Linked DNA regions of Danio rerio. The protein of the gene in region 1 purifies or fractionates together with the protein of each later gene. This does not show direct contact. Links are inferred from orthologs where the notes say so. Each region holds a gene or a part of one and is shown on either strand. Other genes may lie near its edges.

Region 1 (7,674 bases):
TTTATGACAGTTTTTTAAAGGAACATTGGGTTGGGTCACTGTGATCCAAATACCAAATTTCAGCATTTTATGTAAAAATTTCTCCTTTAATAGCTATCTCCATTCAAAACACCTACCGCTTTGCTGTTCGTGATTGTAGCTGGATGCTCAAATTCAGTGATCTTCTTCCAGGTAATGTGATTCAAGATCCGAACCTGATGGAAATCCCATCAAAACTTTTATTACTATATTATAAACAGATTTTTTTTTGCTATAATTCAGTGCTCAGCATATACAAGGGCAACCTTCACAAATCTCTCTTTTAAATGAATATTTTTATAAGATTTTCAATATTATATTTATGCATATGCATTAGATTAGTCAGTACTGAAACCAAATCTGGAGCCAATTTAACAAAACAACTTATGAAAACGGTTCAAAAATTAGTAGCCCAAATTCATATGTTAGGGAAAAATATTAAATAAATATTTTTCAAAATGTATGACCTACAATCACTGAGAAATTAAAACAAATGTTCATTTTTAAAATGGGGTTTACACGTTTACACTGAGCACTGTATAATATCACATATTATTATATTATTCTTTCCAGAGATTTAGTACCTTCTCATCATAGCTGCCTATGGCCAGGAACTGACTGCTGGGACTCCACGCCACAGACTTTATGCCTAGAGACCACTCATACGCACTATAGAAGGACAACAGCCGACCGTCCAGCGAATATAATAGGATTTTATACTGAAAAGTGAAACAGAGTTCATGCAATTAGTTACGTGTAATACTTTTATTAAAATAATATAGTTTCCAAGATAAAAAAACGTACAATTATGTTAATTTTCTGTAGCAGTCATAGCATTTTCTATATAAATATATCACAAAAAGCTCTGATTGGCCGACTTCAGTTGTTATGCATTATGTCTTTGGGCAATTTGGTGGTATATAAATGTTTTGTGAAAATGAGCAGTGATTTTCTTTAACCCCTGTGTGCTGTTAAGGATGTTTTCATTCACTCTGAGGTGATTTTGAGTCTTCATTTGGCCTCTGTGCTTCAGCAAATGTAATGATTTTTAGTAACAAATCTTATTTTGACATATTTTGGGAAAATGCTTTGAAAATATGGAGTGTGCATTCAACAATACACACTGGGCAAATTTACCACCCTTTCATTATGTCCGGGGCGGTTTTTGCCCCATTGACTTCCATTAAAAATCACATTTTTTGATTGCAAAGCTTTGACACTATATAATCATGCATTCTTGATTGTTGCTAGTTTTCCCTGTTGAAAAGAGGTACAAATTGTGGTATTTACTGTTGATCGTCAGTTGCAGTGCAAAAAAAGGTTAGATTTTGGCTTTAAATTATATAGTTATATGGAGTGTAGTGTGTGTGTGTGTGTGTGTGAGAGAGAGAGAGACCTTTGTGCACTTACCTTGACACGTTTCAGAAAATAAAAAAAGTAAGTCAATGTAAGTCAATGTGGCAAAAAACAGCCTGGACATAATAAAAAGGTAGTCAATTTGAACAGTATACAAGGGTAAACGTTAGGAAAGATCACCTCACCTCGAGACAGTTGTCCCACACCGCAAGCACACAGCCATTAGGAGACCACTCCAGCCCTGCCAGATCCTGAGTCTCGCTCTCAAAATGCTGCAGACAATATGATTTCTTTATTGCCACATCAGCAACTTATGGCAATTTTCATGGCAAAATCAATACAGATGAAAGTGTATTACATCATAATAACAACAACGACAACATCATACACTAATAAAAGACAATGTTGCAAATTTTACATTAACTTTAGATTATTTTTCATTATTACTAACTTTAAATTTAAGGTGACATAATTACACACGTTCCATGCACTTACTATAGTATTTACAAATCAATTCTGCATAATTACATGCAGCTAACCCTAAACCTGACCCAAATTCTTTGAATCAATATTACTCAGTAGTTAAATGAATAGTTACACTGTAACTATGTCACCTTAAAATGATCCTAATTTATTTAAAACTTAAAAGTAGACCTCATTTTTCACTTTGTTATGATAAATAACTTAAAATTCTTCTTTTTGAACACATCCAAAGTAATCTCAGAGAGTAATAATGTGACATTCTCAGACAAAATACCCACCTACAGTTGAAGTCAGAGTTATTAGCCCCCTTTAATGTTTTTTTTTCTTTTTTACATATTTCCCAAATTATTTTTAACAGAACAAGGAAATGTTCACAGTATGTCTGATAATATTTTTTCTTCTGGAGAAAGTCTTATTTGTTTTATTTCGGCTAGAATAAAAGCAGCTTTTAATTTTTAAAAAAACATTTTAGGGACAAAATTAGTAGCCCCTTTAAGCTATTTATTTACTATAGTCTACAGAACAAACCATCCTTATACAATAACTTGCCTAATCGCCCTAACCTGCCTAGTTCACCTTATTAACCTAGTGAAGCCTTTAAATGTCACTTTAAGCTGTATAGAAGTGTCTTGAAAATATTAAGTAAAATATTATTTACTGTCATCATGGCAAAGATAAAATAAATCAGTTATTAGAAATAAGTTTTTAAAAATATTATGCTTAGAAATGCGCTGAAACAATCTACCCTCCATTAAACAGAAAAAAATAAACAGGGGCGCTAATAATTCAGGGGGGCTAATAATTCTGACTTTAACTGTATACTGTAATCACCATCTAGATTTTTGCTAAAAAAAAAAAAAAAAGTCATATCTGATGTCAGAAATGTCATATTATTAACAGTTAATAACATTGAAATGTTTTCATATAGAGGCAAAAAAGTGATTAAACATTTTTTAATATAAATAATAATATTATTATTATAATTCAATTGAAATTCAAAACGTATTAAATATTAACAACTAACAAAGGCCGGTCAGAGTTTCCTGCCTGTTTGAGTTTCTTTCTTTTATTTGAACACAAAATAAGATCTTTTGAAAAAAGCTGCAAACCTGTAACTATTGACTTCCATTCTTATTATGTGATCAATGGTTACAGGTTTAAAACTTTCTTCGAAATATCTGCTTTTTTGTGTTCCAAAATTGAGTACATTTCCATTTTTTGGGTGAACTATTCTTTAAAAAAAGAGAACAATTAGTTAAAATTAGTGGATAAAATTACAAATCTTACAGCATTTATTAACATTGGAATAGATTTGAATCATTTATTGTATCCGCTTGTTACTGTAAGTGCGACGTCACGCGAAGCGGCTTCCAGGTCCAAGCGCTCTATTCAACTGAACGGGGAGACTCATGAAATGGTCATAATAAACGTTTACAAAGCGATTTAATGCTTTCGAAAATCATGATCGCAGTAGATATGTCCATGCCTAATATCCGATGGCCAGAAAGTGATAAAAATTTTTTTATAAATTGTTAAATTGTTGGTATTTGTTATGCAGCAAGCCCAGAGATTGTTGTGTACACTATGATTTGATATAAAATTAACTTTAATGTGTGATAGGAATAAAACGTGAACATAAACGAAGGATTTCTCCACTCAAATGAATGGCGGCTTGGACCCGGAAACAGTATTACATACGTCACAAACACGTCACCACTTAACAAGCGGATAGTAAATGTAAAGTTTTTCTGAATATTTAATAATACAAGTATTTTTTATTTATCCTAAATAAGGAAAAATGCAATCAGATTTTTTTTAGATTTACAAAAATGAACAAAGTGAAGAAACACGACCAGGATGTTCTGCTGGCTACATTTGAACATGTGCCTCTTTGTGAGCACCATATAGCCCAACTTATAAGTCTTCTGCCAGTTGTACTCACTCTGAGCAGATGCCAGTCGTCACATACAAACACACTGATGTAGTCCTTACAATCCCGTCTCTCTGCCAGCGCCATATAACGGCCATCTGCAGTGAAGTCCATGCCTGAAACATGTTTATACATTTGAACATAAATATTCAGTCATTCATTCATTCAAGTCACACTATAGATTGAATTTCTTGTGGTTGATTTTATATGGACTAGGGAACTATATAGAATTCATCAGCCACCCCAGTATATTTTTCCTCCTAATTTAGCTTTAACGGAAATAATATTTCAAAGCATTTCTAAGGATAATAGTTTTAATAACTCATTTCTAATGACTGACTTATTGTCTCTCTACTATGAAGACAGTAAATAATATTTCACTAAATATTTTTCAAAACACTAAAATTTAGCTTAAAGTGACATTTAATGGCTTAACTAGGGTAATTAGGGAAGTCCTTGCATAATGATTGTTAGTTCTATAGCTTAAAGGGGCTAATATCACAGGGATCTATTTTAGCTTCAATGTTATTTTCACTGTATATAAATGACTTAGGTCAAGAGAAACACGGCTAAAATCCATTTATATGCAGACGACAGTTGCAAAATCTATGAATCAAGCCAAAGAGATCTGCAAATAAGACTTCTTTTGGTTACTGCGATTTTCACTGCTGAAATTGAAGTTGGTTTTAAATGCAAAAAAAACTAAATGTATGTCGTACAAAAATAAAGGTTTAAGCCAATCCTAACCCTGGAGGGGGACTGTATTGAAAGAGTAAACAGTTATAAATATTTGGGCATATGGCTTGGTGAATGGTTGGGTTTTAATATTCATATTGAAAATCTTGCGTCAGCGCAATAGCCTAGTGGTTAGCGCGCCGACATATGGTGCAATAGCATGTCAGGGCGTCGTGAGTTTGAATCCCGGCTCGACGACATTTCCCTACCCTACCCCCTCTCTCTCTCTCCCACTTCACTTCCTGTCTCAATACTGTCCTATTTCAGTGGTTCTCAAAGTGGGGGTCGGGACCCCCCGAGGGGTCGCGGGACTATGAAGGGGGGGATCGCCTGGTGATTTCCAAAAATCTATTTATTTTTATTAAACCATAAGAATTACCATTTTAATCCATAACCTACTAGAAAAATAGTCGTTTACAGTTACTTAATACACTACTGTATATAGTTACTATAGTAGCTTATAGTTACTAGTTCTATTGGATTGCAACCCCTCAGGTAATTACATTATATTAAAGACTCAGCAATAGCGTTAGATGCAGCAGATTGATTTTATAATACCAGGTTAAACTTTCTAGCACATTTACAGCACTGACATACATTAATAAAATATAACGAAGAATAGACTTGGGTTTATTGGTGTGTGTGCGCCGCATTGCATGCAAGGTTTCTGTATTTATAACCACATCAGAGGATATTGGGGGTCGCAAGTTATTGGCATTGTTATTTTGGGGGTCGCGAGCTGAAAAGTTTGGGAACCCCTGTCCTATCTTATAAAGGCAAAAAGGCCAAAAATAAATCTTAAAAAAAAAATAAAGAAAATCTTGTAAAGAAGCTCAGACCTAAATTGGGTTTTTATTTTTGTATTAAGAAATGCCTTCCTCTCAAAGCAAGAAAAAGAATGATTCAAAGCTGTTTTCTTTCAGTATTAGATTATGGCGATGTAGTTTATATGCATGCAAACCTGTTGTTATTACAAGATGTGCAACTGAAACTACGGATACTGGAAGCCTGTGCTTGCATTTCTCCTGCGGTGTTGCTCTCAGTGTGTGAAGAGTGGGAGAAGAGGGTTGCATTGACAATCCAACACAATGGGCAGCACATTGAACACATTTTATAAGTAGTCAGAAACTTGTAAATAACTCATAAAAGAGTAAAGTTACGTTAAAATCAAGCACACCATTGTGTTTCTTGTGAAATTCCCAATAAGTTTGATGTGTCAAATGACCCTCTTACTATTGAATAAACAAACGTTGGATCCAAGATGGCTCCATGACTTCAAAATGGCCATGGTCACCACCCGTCTTGAAAAGTTTGCCCCCTCACATATACTAATGTGCCACAAACAGGATGTTAATATCGCCAACCATTCCCATTTTATTAAGGTGTATCCATATAAATGGCCCACCCTGTACAACTTGCATTTGTAAAATGTAAAAACATCAGCTCTTCAAGTACTTCAAGTGCATTCAGACAGTTTTGTTAGCATCTTGTTAGGAAGAGAAACCTTTTTTCTTTAGTGTTGTTGAACTACTTTAAATCATGTGCTCCCCCAAACAAGACGAAGGTCAATTATGTTATGAATGGAATTGCGCTCCATAACTTTGACCCATGGCGGCAACAATAAATGACTAAAACGCTCATAACTCACTCTGTTAGACGGACAACGTGACACTGCCACAGCAACACCTTTCAACAAGCCTTCCAGCAGCTGATCTGAAGGTTACAGCTCAATCTGCACACCACTGGCCAGAAAATGAGTCTTTGGCAGTAATGTGTGATATGAAGTGAACGTCTTCTGGAGCGTACGTTCTCTGCATGTTGACAGCAGGGGTTGTGAGGACTATGTGCTCTTTGCCAGCTGTTTGGGGGAGCTCATGTCTGGCTGGACGTCCAGGGACTTGTATTACAGGTAAATACTTTCCCATGATTCATTTGCGACCTTGTCCTTACATCTCCTCTGGCACAAACCCTAGATAAAACTGCAAATCTAAATCAGAAAAAGTTGGGACAGTATGGAAAACGCAAATAATAAAAGAAAATAGTGATTTCTAAATTTTCTTTGACCTTCCTTTTATTCAGACCTGCACACATTCCAAAAATGTGTCACGATAAAAGCAATTTAGGGCTAGTAAACAGGTAAAATGGTTAAATAATGATGTGATGTGAAACAGGTGATGTTAACAGGTGATTGTAATTTTGATTTGGTACAAAAGCAGCATCCAAGAATGGTCGAGTCATTTAGGAGCAAAGATGGGCCGAGGATTGCCTGTTTGCTGACAAATACGCGAGAAAATTATTGAAATGCTTAAAAACAGTATTCCTCAAAGAAAGAAAGGAAGACATTTGGATATTTCACCTTCAACAGTCAACAGTGCATCATTAAAAGATTCAAGGAATCGGAAGGAATTTCAGTGTGTAAAGGACAAGTGTGCAAGCCTAACCTGAACAACCGTGATCTTGGACCCCCTGAGGCGGCACTGCATCAAGAATCCTCATTCCTCTATTAGAGATATCACTACATGGGCTCGAGACTGCTTTGACAAACCTTTGTCAAGTACCACAAAACGTAGTTACATTCACAAATGCCAGTTAAAACTGTACTGTACTGTGCCAAAAGGAAGCCCTATGTTAACAGTGTCCATAAACAGCGTTGACTTCACTTGACTTCTAGGGCATCAGGAATGGACTATTACACAGTGGAAACGTGTACTGTGGTCAGATAAATCAGTATATCGGGTATTTTTTGGGAGAATTGGATGTCATGGACCAAAAAAGAAAAGCATCATCCAGACTTTTACCAGCAGCAACAAGTCTAAAGGCCAGGTTCTGTCATGGTAGTCCCCTTGGCAAAGGCAACTTGCACATCTGCGATGACACCATTATTGCTGGAAAGTACATAGAGAAGGCTCCTCCAGGCTACAGAGGATAGAGGTATTTGACTGGTCTGTCTGCAGTCTTGACCTGTCCCCAATAGAGAATGCGTGGTGCATAAGGCAACTAAGAAAGACCCCGTACTGTTGTCCACCTCAAGACTTGTTTGCAGATAGAATGGGGAATAAATGACACCTGAAACACTTCATCACTTGGTGTCTTCAGCCCCTAAACGTCTTTTAAGTGCTGTGAAAAGGAATGGCGACATTACTAAGTGGTAA
Region 2 (4,144 bases), on another chromosome or scaffold:
TGGTTTTTAACATTGGATGTAGGTCAGGGGTGTCCAAACTCAGTCCTGGAGGGCCGGTGTCCAGCATAGTTTAGCTCCCAACTTGCTTCAACACACTTGGCAGGAAGTTTCTAGTATATCTAGTAGGAGCTTGATTAGTTCAGGTGTGTTTGATTAGGGTTGGAGCTAAACTCTTCAGGACACCGGCCCTCCAGGACCTAGTTTGGACACCCCTGATGTAGGTGAATTGTAAATGAAGGCTACCCTACACTAGAAACGTCAACAAAGAAAACAAACGATAAGTTTATTGGGTGTTTGAGCAAAAGAACCTCATATTCTCGTAAAAGCAGCTCCCCTCGAGTCTTTCGGAGGCGTCTCTTTACAGAATTGCTCTCATTGGAGTCAGTATCGGTTGTGGCTCCTGTGAGCATACAGACAGACACACACACTGTCAAACATGAAGAAACATACAGTTGAAGGCAAAATGATTAGCCCTCCTGTGAATTTTTGTATTCTTTTTCCAAATATTTCCCAAGTGATGTGTAACAGAGCAGAGGGGAAAAGTGTCTACGTTAAACAGCACTTGGGAAATATTATAAAATAATTTAAATTTCAAAGGAAGACTAAATATTTTTACTTCAATTATATTTAATCACATTCAAAAAGAGCTTCATATTTCAATAACAGCAAGGTTTGACCAGGAAGTGTGTTGACTTTACCAATGATTTCTCTGCAGGGGTTTTCTGGGGTGATGGCCACTCTACAGGTGGGACACTGACTGCTCTTCTCCAGCCAGACTTTAATACAGCTGGAGCAGAACACATGGTTGTTGCAACAAATGACCGGCTGACGCACCTGCGAATCAGAGCCAAAAAAAACCAACAACAGGTAAATTAAGCATCATGATTCATGCTTGTTGATATTCATGACAACTAACAATGATCATTATCTACATTACTCATCATTGTTAACAAAGATGACAAATAACTCATGCATGTGGGTCAAAAATTCTACCTAAAAATGATGATTCACATACACAGAAGCATATTAAATCTAAAAGCTAATTACTTATAAAATGCTTCAAATAATATAAAATGTCAAAATATGGATGAATTAATAATCATTATTGTCGTTCAGGGTGACGTGGATTTATGTACAAATTAAACTACATATTTATTTTGACAGGTACTTGATAAAATATATTTAAAAATTAGCAATCTAAATAATAGCATTGTATATGAAATTAATATAAACGTGAATAAAAGCTAGTAAAAATATTCTAAATACAATTTTACAGGGTACGATATAATATTGTAATAAAGTAACAATAAATATTTATGATGCAATACTTCTAGATTACTAGGATTCAGAAAGACAGACAGACAGACAGACAGACAGATATGTGGATAGACGGACGAACGGATATGTTGGTGGATGGATGGATGGATGGATGGATGGATGGATGGATGGATGGATGGATAAATAGACAGACGGACGGACAGACAGACAGATATGTGGGTGGATGGATGGATGGATAGATGGATGGATGGATATAGATAGATAGATAGATAGATAGATAGATAGATAGATAGATAGATAGATAGATAGATAGATAGATAGATATGTGGGTGGGTGGATGGATGATGGATAGATAAATAGACAGACAGACGGACCGACGGACGGACAGACAGACAGATATATATGTGGGTGGATGGATGGATGAACGGATGGATGGATGAACGGACGGACGGATGGACGGACAGACAGACAGATGATAAAAAAAAAAAAATACCCTCAGCAAGTCCATTTTCCCATCCTGCCTCAGTAAATTCTTTGCCCTGCCCATTAACAAACTTAAACCAATCAGATGAGGTGTTGCATGTCAAACATGCATATGTTAGCAAACGCTTTTAACAGTTAGCATTAACTGCATTTTGAGCAATACATCTCAACGCAGCAGAGAAGTAAAAGTGTTTAGGTAAATACCGGGCTGGTGCTTTTGAATGTTTTGTTGTTTAATTTAGTTCTATTTAAGTGTACTGGTATAATAGCGCTTTTCACAATAATTATCGTACCAAAGCATCATTACATTACACTCTAAATCAGCAAAGCTAGGTTAAGTTGTGTATAGGGTGGACTGTAATAAACACAGTTAACCAGATGAAGGTAAAGTTATATTCGCGCATTCGGTCATTTAACAGTTCGTATATTGTTTACCATGCTACATTGAATATTCGGTCTTAAGCATGAAAGTATGGATTCAAAACAACATTAGCACTATTTATTTAACTGTAAACAATGCTGTACTTTGATAGTCATTGGCTGCTAATAAGATTTCCCTATTTAGAATTAGCTTTTGTGAAACTATATTATTAAGGATGAATGTGTGAATATAAAACCAACTTAACTTCAATGTTAACCTGCAGGAATTTGTTTGTTCAAACCAAATGTAAGTTAACTTACTGTTAGAAATTATCGCTGTTTCTAGACGTTGTATCTTTAATAGGCGTTATTTTATCACAGTGTCTTACGTAATAGTTTTATGTTAAAGATATATTAATAAATAATGGACATAACGAGACATAATTTAAGATGCAACAATGACATGATGTTGACGAGCACACTGTACGAGTTTAACTTCTGTCGGTAACTTAAACTAAGTGTATTAAAAGTTTGTTACCTTTCCGAGACAAATCTGACAGGATATGGGTAAAGTCAACGAAAGAGTGACGTTTTGAAAACTTTGCGCCATGATTAGTCCTTAAATGCACAACATGATCCAAAACTCCCTCCAACAGAGACAAAAAGAGGCGAGGAACCCACGCGACTACGGCAAGCGCAGAGCTCTACTGTAAAACGCGTCTGTCGTAAATCTCAATGTGGCGCTTTTATGTAAAGGAAATCAAGTGCTAGTTTTATTGTACATTTGTTTTGCTCCCAAGCAGGAAACTCTTGTTTTTTTTTTTTGTTTTTTTTTTTAGAAAATATTAGCCACAAACTATTCAGTTCAATCTTGAAAAAATATTGTTTGTATCTCATATACTGCTAATAAAATAGGTAAGCAATCTTTCAGTAAGCATTATTATTATTAGTAGAAGTAGTATTTATTAATACATGGGTTAATTTTAATAACTTCATCAACATTGTATTGTATCTTATATACTGCTAATATGTACGCATTCTTTTAGTGAGCATTATTATTATTATTATTATTATTATTATTATCATCATCTAAGCTAATACCAATAGTTTAATTAATAGTAGGAGTAGTAATAAATTATAATATTTCATTTTTGTATAATAAAATATGCATGCATTCTCTCAGTAAACATCATTATTAGTAGTAGCATTTAACAGTAAATGATAAAGATTACTTTTAATAATAATAAATATGTTATAAAATAATATTTATTATAGTAAGACCCTATAACAGCAATTAAAAGCCAGATGAAATTTTATGTATTTTTTGATTATTATTTCTATAATTGTAAACTATTTATTTTAATTTTTTATTGTTTTATTTATTTATTATGTTTAATTATTTATTATTATTTATCTTATAAAAATAATTATTTATTTCTTAGTATTATTATTATTATTATTATTATTATTTATATATAATTGTACAATATTAATTTGATTGTTTATTTATTTTTAATGTTTTTAATTATTTTTTAATTATTTTATTTAATTTATTTTATTTTTAATTATTATATATAATTTAAAATATTTATTTATTTATTTATCTATTTATTTATTCATTATTTTTATTATTATTATTATTATATAATTGTAAAATACTTATTTTTATTTATTTTTTATTGTTTTATTTGTTTATTATTTTTAATTATTTTTATTATATAAAATGAAAATATTTATTTATTGTTATATATATATATATATATATATATATATATATAATTGTAAATTATTTATTTTTTATTATTTTGTTATTTTTATTGTTTTATTTATTTGTTATTTTTGATTATTTATTATTATATATCATAAAAAAATATTGATGTTTTTTATTTATTCACTTATTTACTACACCAAACATTTTTAATGCATTTATAATAGTGTTTGCCTCCTTTTCTCCCAAAGCGTTTGGTCTCTTAAAGTCAGCCCTTTGTTTCGAGAGTTTTATTGCGACAGTATAAACCATTAT
Region 3 (4,131 bases), on another chromosome or scaffold:
TTCAGATCGGATGTTTCATGGTCCAGTTTCCTGATGTACGCCTTTAACTCTGTTAATGGAAAATAGTGAACATTATAACCGTTCCCTTTGGTTTAAAATCTGTCTGCAACTGTGTTTGAGGGATTAAATTTGACCCACACCCCTGCTGATCCGATCCTTCTCTTCTCTCAGTTTCAAAAGCCCAAGGTGCATCTCGTTGTTTTCTTTGACTAGCCGGGCATTTTCTGTTTTATATGGCTCCAGAATAGCATCCACATTGCGGCTCTCCTTTTCTGTCTTACCTGCAGCAAGCTTGGCATTCCTGAGACTCTCTGTGGTGTGGATCAGGTCACTGAGATACAAATCAAAACTGACTGATTATGCTTTTAACATATCATGTTGCACATAGTACAGTAAATACAGTTGAAACCAGAAGTTTACATACACTCTAAGAAAGGAACATAACCTTTTTTTTCCTTTAGGATTATCTAAATGAGTTACATTTTCTAAATGCCAGAATAATGAGAGTAATAATGTTTATTATTATTATTATTAAGTTTTTTTATTAATTTCTATACAGTCAAACATTTACATACATTTCCTTGGTAGTTTTTTAGCTTTGCTTTTAAACTGTATAACTTTGGTCAAATGTTATGTGTATCCTTCCACAAGCTTCTTACAATAGTTTGAAGAAATTTTGGCCCATTTCTCCAGACAGAATTGGTGTGACTGAGTCAGGTTTGTAGGTTGATTTGTCTTGCTTGCACAAGCTTTTTCAACTCTGCCCACACATTTTTTAGTTTGAGCTTAGGGCTTTGTGATGGCCTCTCTAAAACATTCACTCTGTTGTCCTTAAAGCAAATTTTAGCTAATGTGGCAGTATGCTTAGGGTCATGGTCTGTTTGGAAGACCCATTTGTGGCCAAGTTTTAATTTCCTGGCTGATGTCTTGAGATGTTGCTTCAGTATTTCTACATAATGTTCAAACTTTATGATGCCATCTATGCTGTGAAGTGGGCCAGTCCCTCCCACAATATGATGCTGCCACCCCCATACTTCACAGTTGGGTTGGTGTTCCTAAGCTTGTAAGCTTTCCCTTTGTCCTCCAAATGTAACACTGGTCATTATGGCCAAACAGTTCAATATTAGTTCCATTAGACAGCAGGACATGTCTCCAAAAATTATTCTTTTTCCCAGTGTTTTTTTTTTTTTTTTTTGATTCTGGCTTGTTGATTTTCCCATGTTGTCACAAAAGGAAGCAGTGTGTTTGAGGTTTTCCTAAAATACTATTCTACTGTTGTGCCTCCAGTTAACTCAAATGTAGTCAATTAGCCAAGCAGAAACTTCCAAAACCTTGACAACATCATCTGAGCTTTGTCAGAGGCATAATAATCTTATTGTATGTAAACTTGACTTTCAAGAGAAGTTATAACAATTTCTTTAAAAACATCTCTCTCATTATTCTGCTATTAAGCATAACAGAAACTAATTTGATAATCCTAGAGAAAAGAGAAAAGGTTTAGTCACATATTAACATCTGACTTTTAAAAATGGTTATGTGCCTTTTTATACAGTTTATGCAAACTTCTGGTTTCAACTGTATTATTATATTTTAATCAGCATTTATTTGATTTGTTACCCCAGACTAGTGCTTTTATTGTTTAATCACCCTCATGTCATTCCAAACAAATGAGAATTTTGAACATTTTTGAAAAACAAGTGAAGACAATTTTATTGAAATCAGTTTTGTAAATGTCAAGCGATCATGTCTTATCAGAAGACTTAAACCACTTGAAAATGCTATGTGACTTGCAAGAATGAAAATGATTGATTTTAATAAAAAGTGCTTTGATTTGTGCTCTAAAGATACATGAATATCTTATGGGTTTAAAATGACATGTTGGTAAACGATGATAGATTTAAGTATCAAAGAGTTTTGAGTTAACTCCTCAAAAACTTTAAAAAGTTTTTTTGATGTACACCACATTTCATGAACTATTTAGAAATAATCTGTAAAATTATACACAAATAATCATATGTATGTATGGGTGATCTGTGTCAGTACTTGATGTGACCCAAAAGATAAGCCTCTTTAGTCGTGTGTAGTTGAGCTCTTGTTCACCTGAAGAGTTTCTCCACCAGTGGCAGACTCTCGATGGCCAGCGGCTGCCTGTAGCCCAGCTGATCCAAGCGCTTCCGCAGATTGATGAACTTCCGCTCTGCGTTGGTCGTCATGGTCATTCAACACAAATACGCGCTCCGCTCTACAAGCAAAGTGATTCACATGTCAACAACAGATTTAACAAAGACCTTTTACATCTTCTTATCTTATACTTTCATCGTTTGCCGTGTATTGAAACCTATGCGCTGCCAAATCAGACAGCACTTTTGGACGCATTGGCAACATTCTGTAAGCTAACTACGTTTTAAAACGCGACCACAAAACTACAGCAAATTATTTAACATTAACTACGACACATACAGAAATGCCCCGTTTTCATAAAGCGTACTTAACGTACACCGATGTTTGTAGTTGTTTAAGTGCGCTGTCAATTTGTTATCAGTGCTCTAGTCTTCATTCTGCAGCTCTGACATACGCAGCTTCTCCACCACACAAAAATAAAGCATTAAGCACAATAAGCAGACAGCACAACAGTCCACCTCACTTGCTGTTCGTTGTTTGGATAACACTTCTCGGCGTTTTCATTGTGTAAAATGTTTTTTTCGGTTAGCTAATCATCAGTGTGTGCTGCAGATTTCCTCCCCTCCCCGCGGTGAATGGTCTTCCGGTGGCGGTAACACTGCTTGAAAATGGCGCCGAGGAGAAAGGAAAGACCACAGTCCTGCTCAAGTGCCGTCAAACTGGAACCTGAGAAACAGCGACATTTAGTGGACGTTGAGTAGTAAACGGTATAAAAAAAGTGATCACAACTGCTTTTACTCATGTAAATTCAGTGCAATTATAATTGAACATGTAAAGTCAGACCTTTCCCCATGGGAACAGTGTATTGAACCTTTAGACAAAAACTCAATCCTCTTATGTGCTTTGCATCATTTTTAATAAATCAGGTGCTTTGCCCATTTAGCACGATTGCCTATTTTTTAGCAAACTATTGGAGGAAAAACACACATTTTATTTAGGAGCACAAACTGAACAAATATAACGTTATACTTTCATGCATTTGTTTATCATACATGTTTATGTTTACAGATTACATAAATAATTGCATATAAATATCTGTTACAATCACTCTATCATCTTCCAACAATATTATCAATACATAATATATGATGAGGCTACATGGTGGCTCAGTAGTTAGCACTGTCGCCTTATAGCCAGAAAGTTGCTAGTTCGAGTCCCGACTGGGTCAGTTGGCAACTCTGTGTGGAGTTTGCATGTTCTCCCCATGTTAGCTTAGGTTTCCTCCTGGTGCTCCGGTTTTCCCCACAGTCCAAATAGACAATTTTGAGGAATGTAAACAAAAACAATGGCCCCAATTTATTTCCTGTTTTACATTTTTAATTTATAGAGCTTCCGAGAACCCAAAAAGAGCCACATATTGATAAATTATGTTATGATAGCTGTTTTAACATTACATTATGATTAAATTGCCTTTTACAGTTCGGAAATAATTTGCTAACCAGCAGGAAAATTTCATGGGCCAAAGACATCACTACATTGAAATGGTCTATAGATGAATTGAATGAACTAAATTTGCCAAATAGCGTATGAGTGTGAATAAATGTGAGGATGTTTCCCAGTACTGCGTTGTGGCTGGAAGGGCATCCACTGTCTAAAACATATGCTGGATAAGTTAGAAGGAAAATGAATTAATCAATATATTGATATTATATTATTATAGCATTAAAATATAATATTATAATATCAATATTACAATATTCTACTTTTAAATATATTAAAATTTTATAATATTTTCTGTACTTTAATGGGAAGAGGTAGTCACTGCAGTATTTCTGTTGTTATATGCTGGTGTGTGTTGTGAATTGTGTAAATCTATTTAACCTGCAAAACAAGTTACCCCAAAAGGGGACAATAAAGTTTACAGAAACCGTAACAATGTCTCAGTAAGACAATGTTGAAATGCTTGGTTTTATGATCAAAACATATAATGCAGTGCAATGATTGCAGCAT

Evidence for each region. Proteins that work in one complex are often made in the same cells at the same time.
Region 2: the proteins of wrap73 (region 1) and obi1 purify together in Homo sapiens (affinity purification with mass spectrometry; 3 studies listed by BioGRID and IntAct, counting the BioPlex papers as one, with this or other methods). This does not show direct contact. The link is inferred for Danio rerio from reciprocal best matches to the Homo sapiens genes WRAP73 and OBI1.
Region 3: the proteins of wrap73 (region 1) and cep135 purify together in Homo sapiens (co-immunoprecipitation; 6 studies listed by BioGRID and IntAct, counting the BioPlex papers as one, with this or other methods). This does not show direct contact. The link is inferred for Danio rerio from reciprocal best matches to the Homo sapiens genes WRAP73 and CEP135.

What each region holds. Positions count from the first base shown.
Region 1 is NC_133183.1:58,587,435-58,595,108, forward strand, and holds part of wrap73 (WD repeat-containing protein WRAP73), read right to left. Parts: intron 3,904-7,674; coding exon 3,800-3,903; intron 1,647-3,799; coding exon 1,560-1,646; intron 738-1,559; coding exon 603-737; intron 195-602; coding exon 117-194; intron 1-116.
Region 2 is NC_133181.1:5,242,955-5,247,098, reverse strand, and holds the start of obi1 (ORC ubiquitin ligase 1), read right to left. Parts: upstream 2,801-4,144; 5' UTR 2,732-2,800; coding exon 2,660-2,731; intron 868-2,659; exon of another isoform or gene 835-867; coding exon 699-834; intron 401-698; coding exon 309-400; intron 1-308. UniProt on the Homo sapiens protein: E3 ubiquitin ligase essential for DNA replication origin activation during S phase.
Region 3 is NC_133195.1:28,387,988-28,392,118, reverse strand, and holds the start of cep135 (centrosomal protein of 135 kDa), read right to left. Parts: upstream 2,801-4,131; 5' UTR 2,645-2,800; exon of another isoform or gene 2,498-2,644; intron 2,243-2,497; 5' UTR 2,220-2,242; coding exon 2,101-2,219; intron 332-2,100; coding exon 141-331; intron 50-140; coding exon 1-49. UniProt on the Homo sapiens protein: Centrosomal microtubule-binding protein involved in centriole biogenesis. Acts as a scaffolding protein during early centriole biogenesis.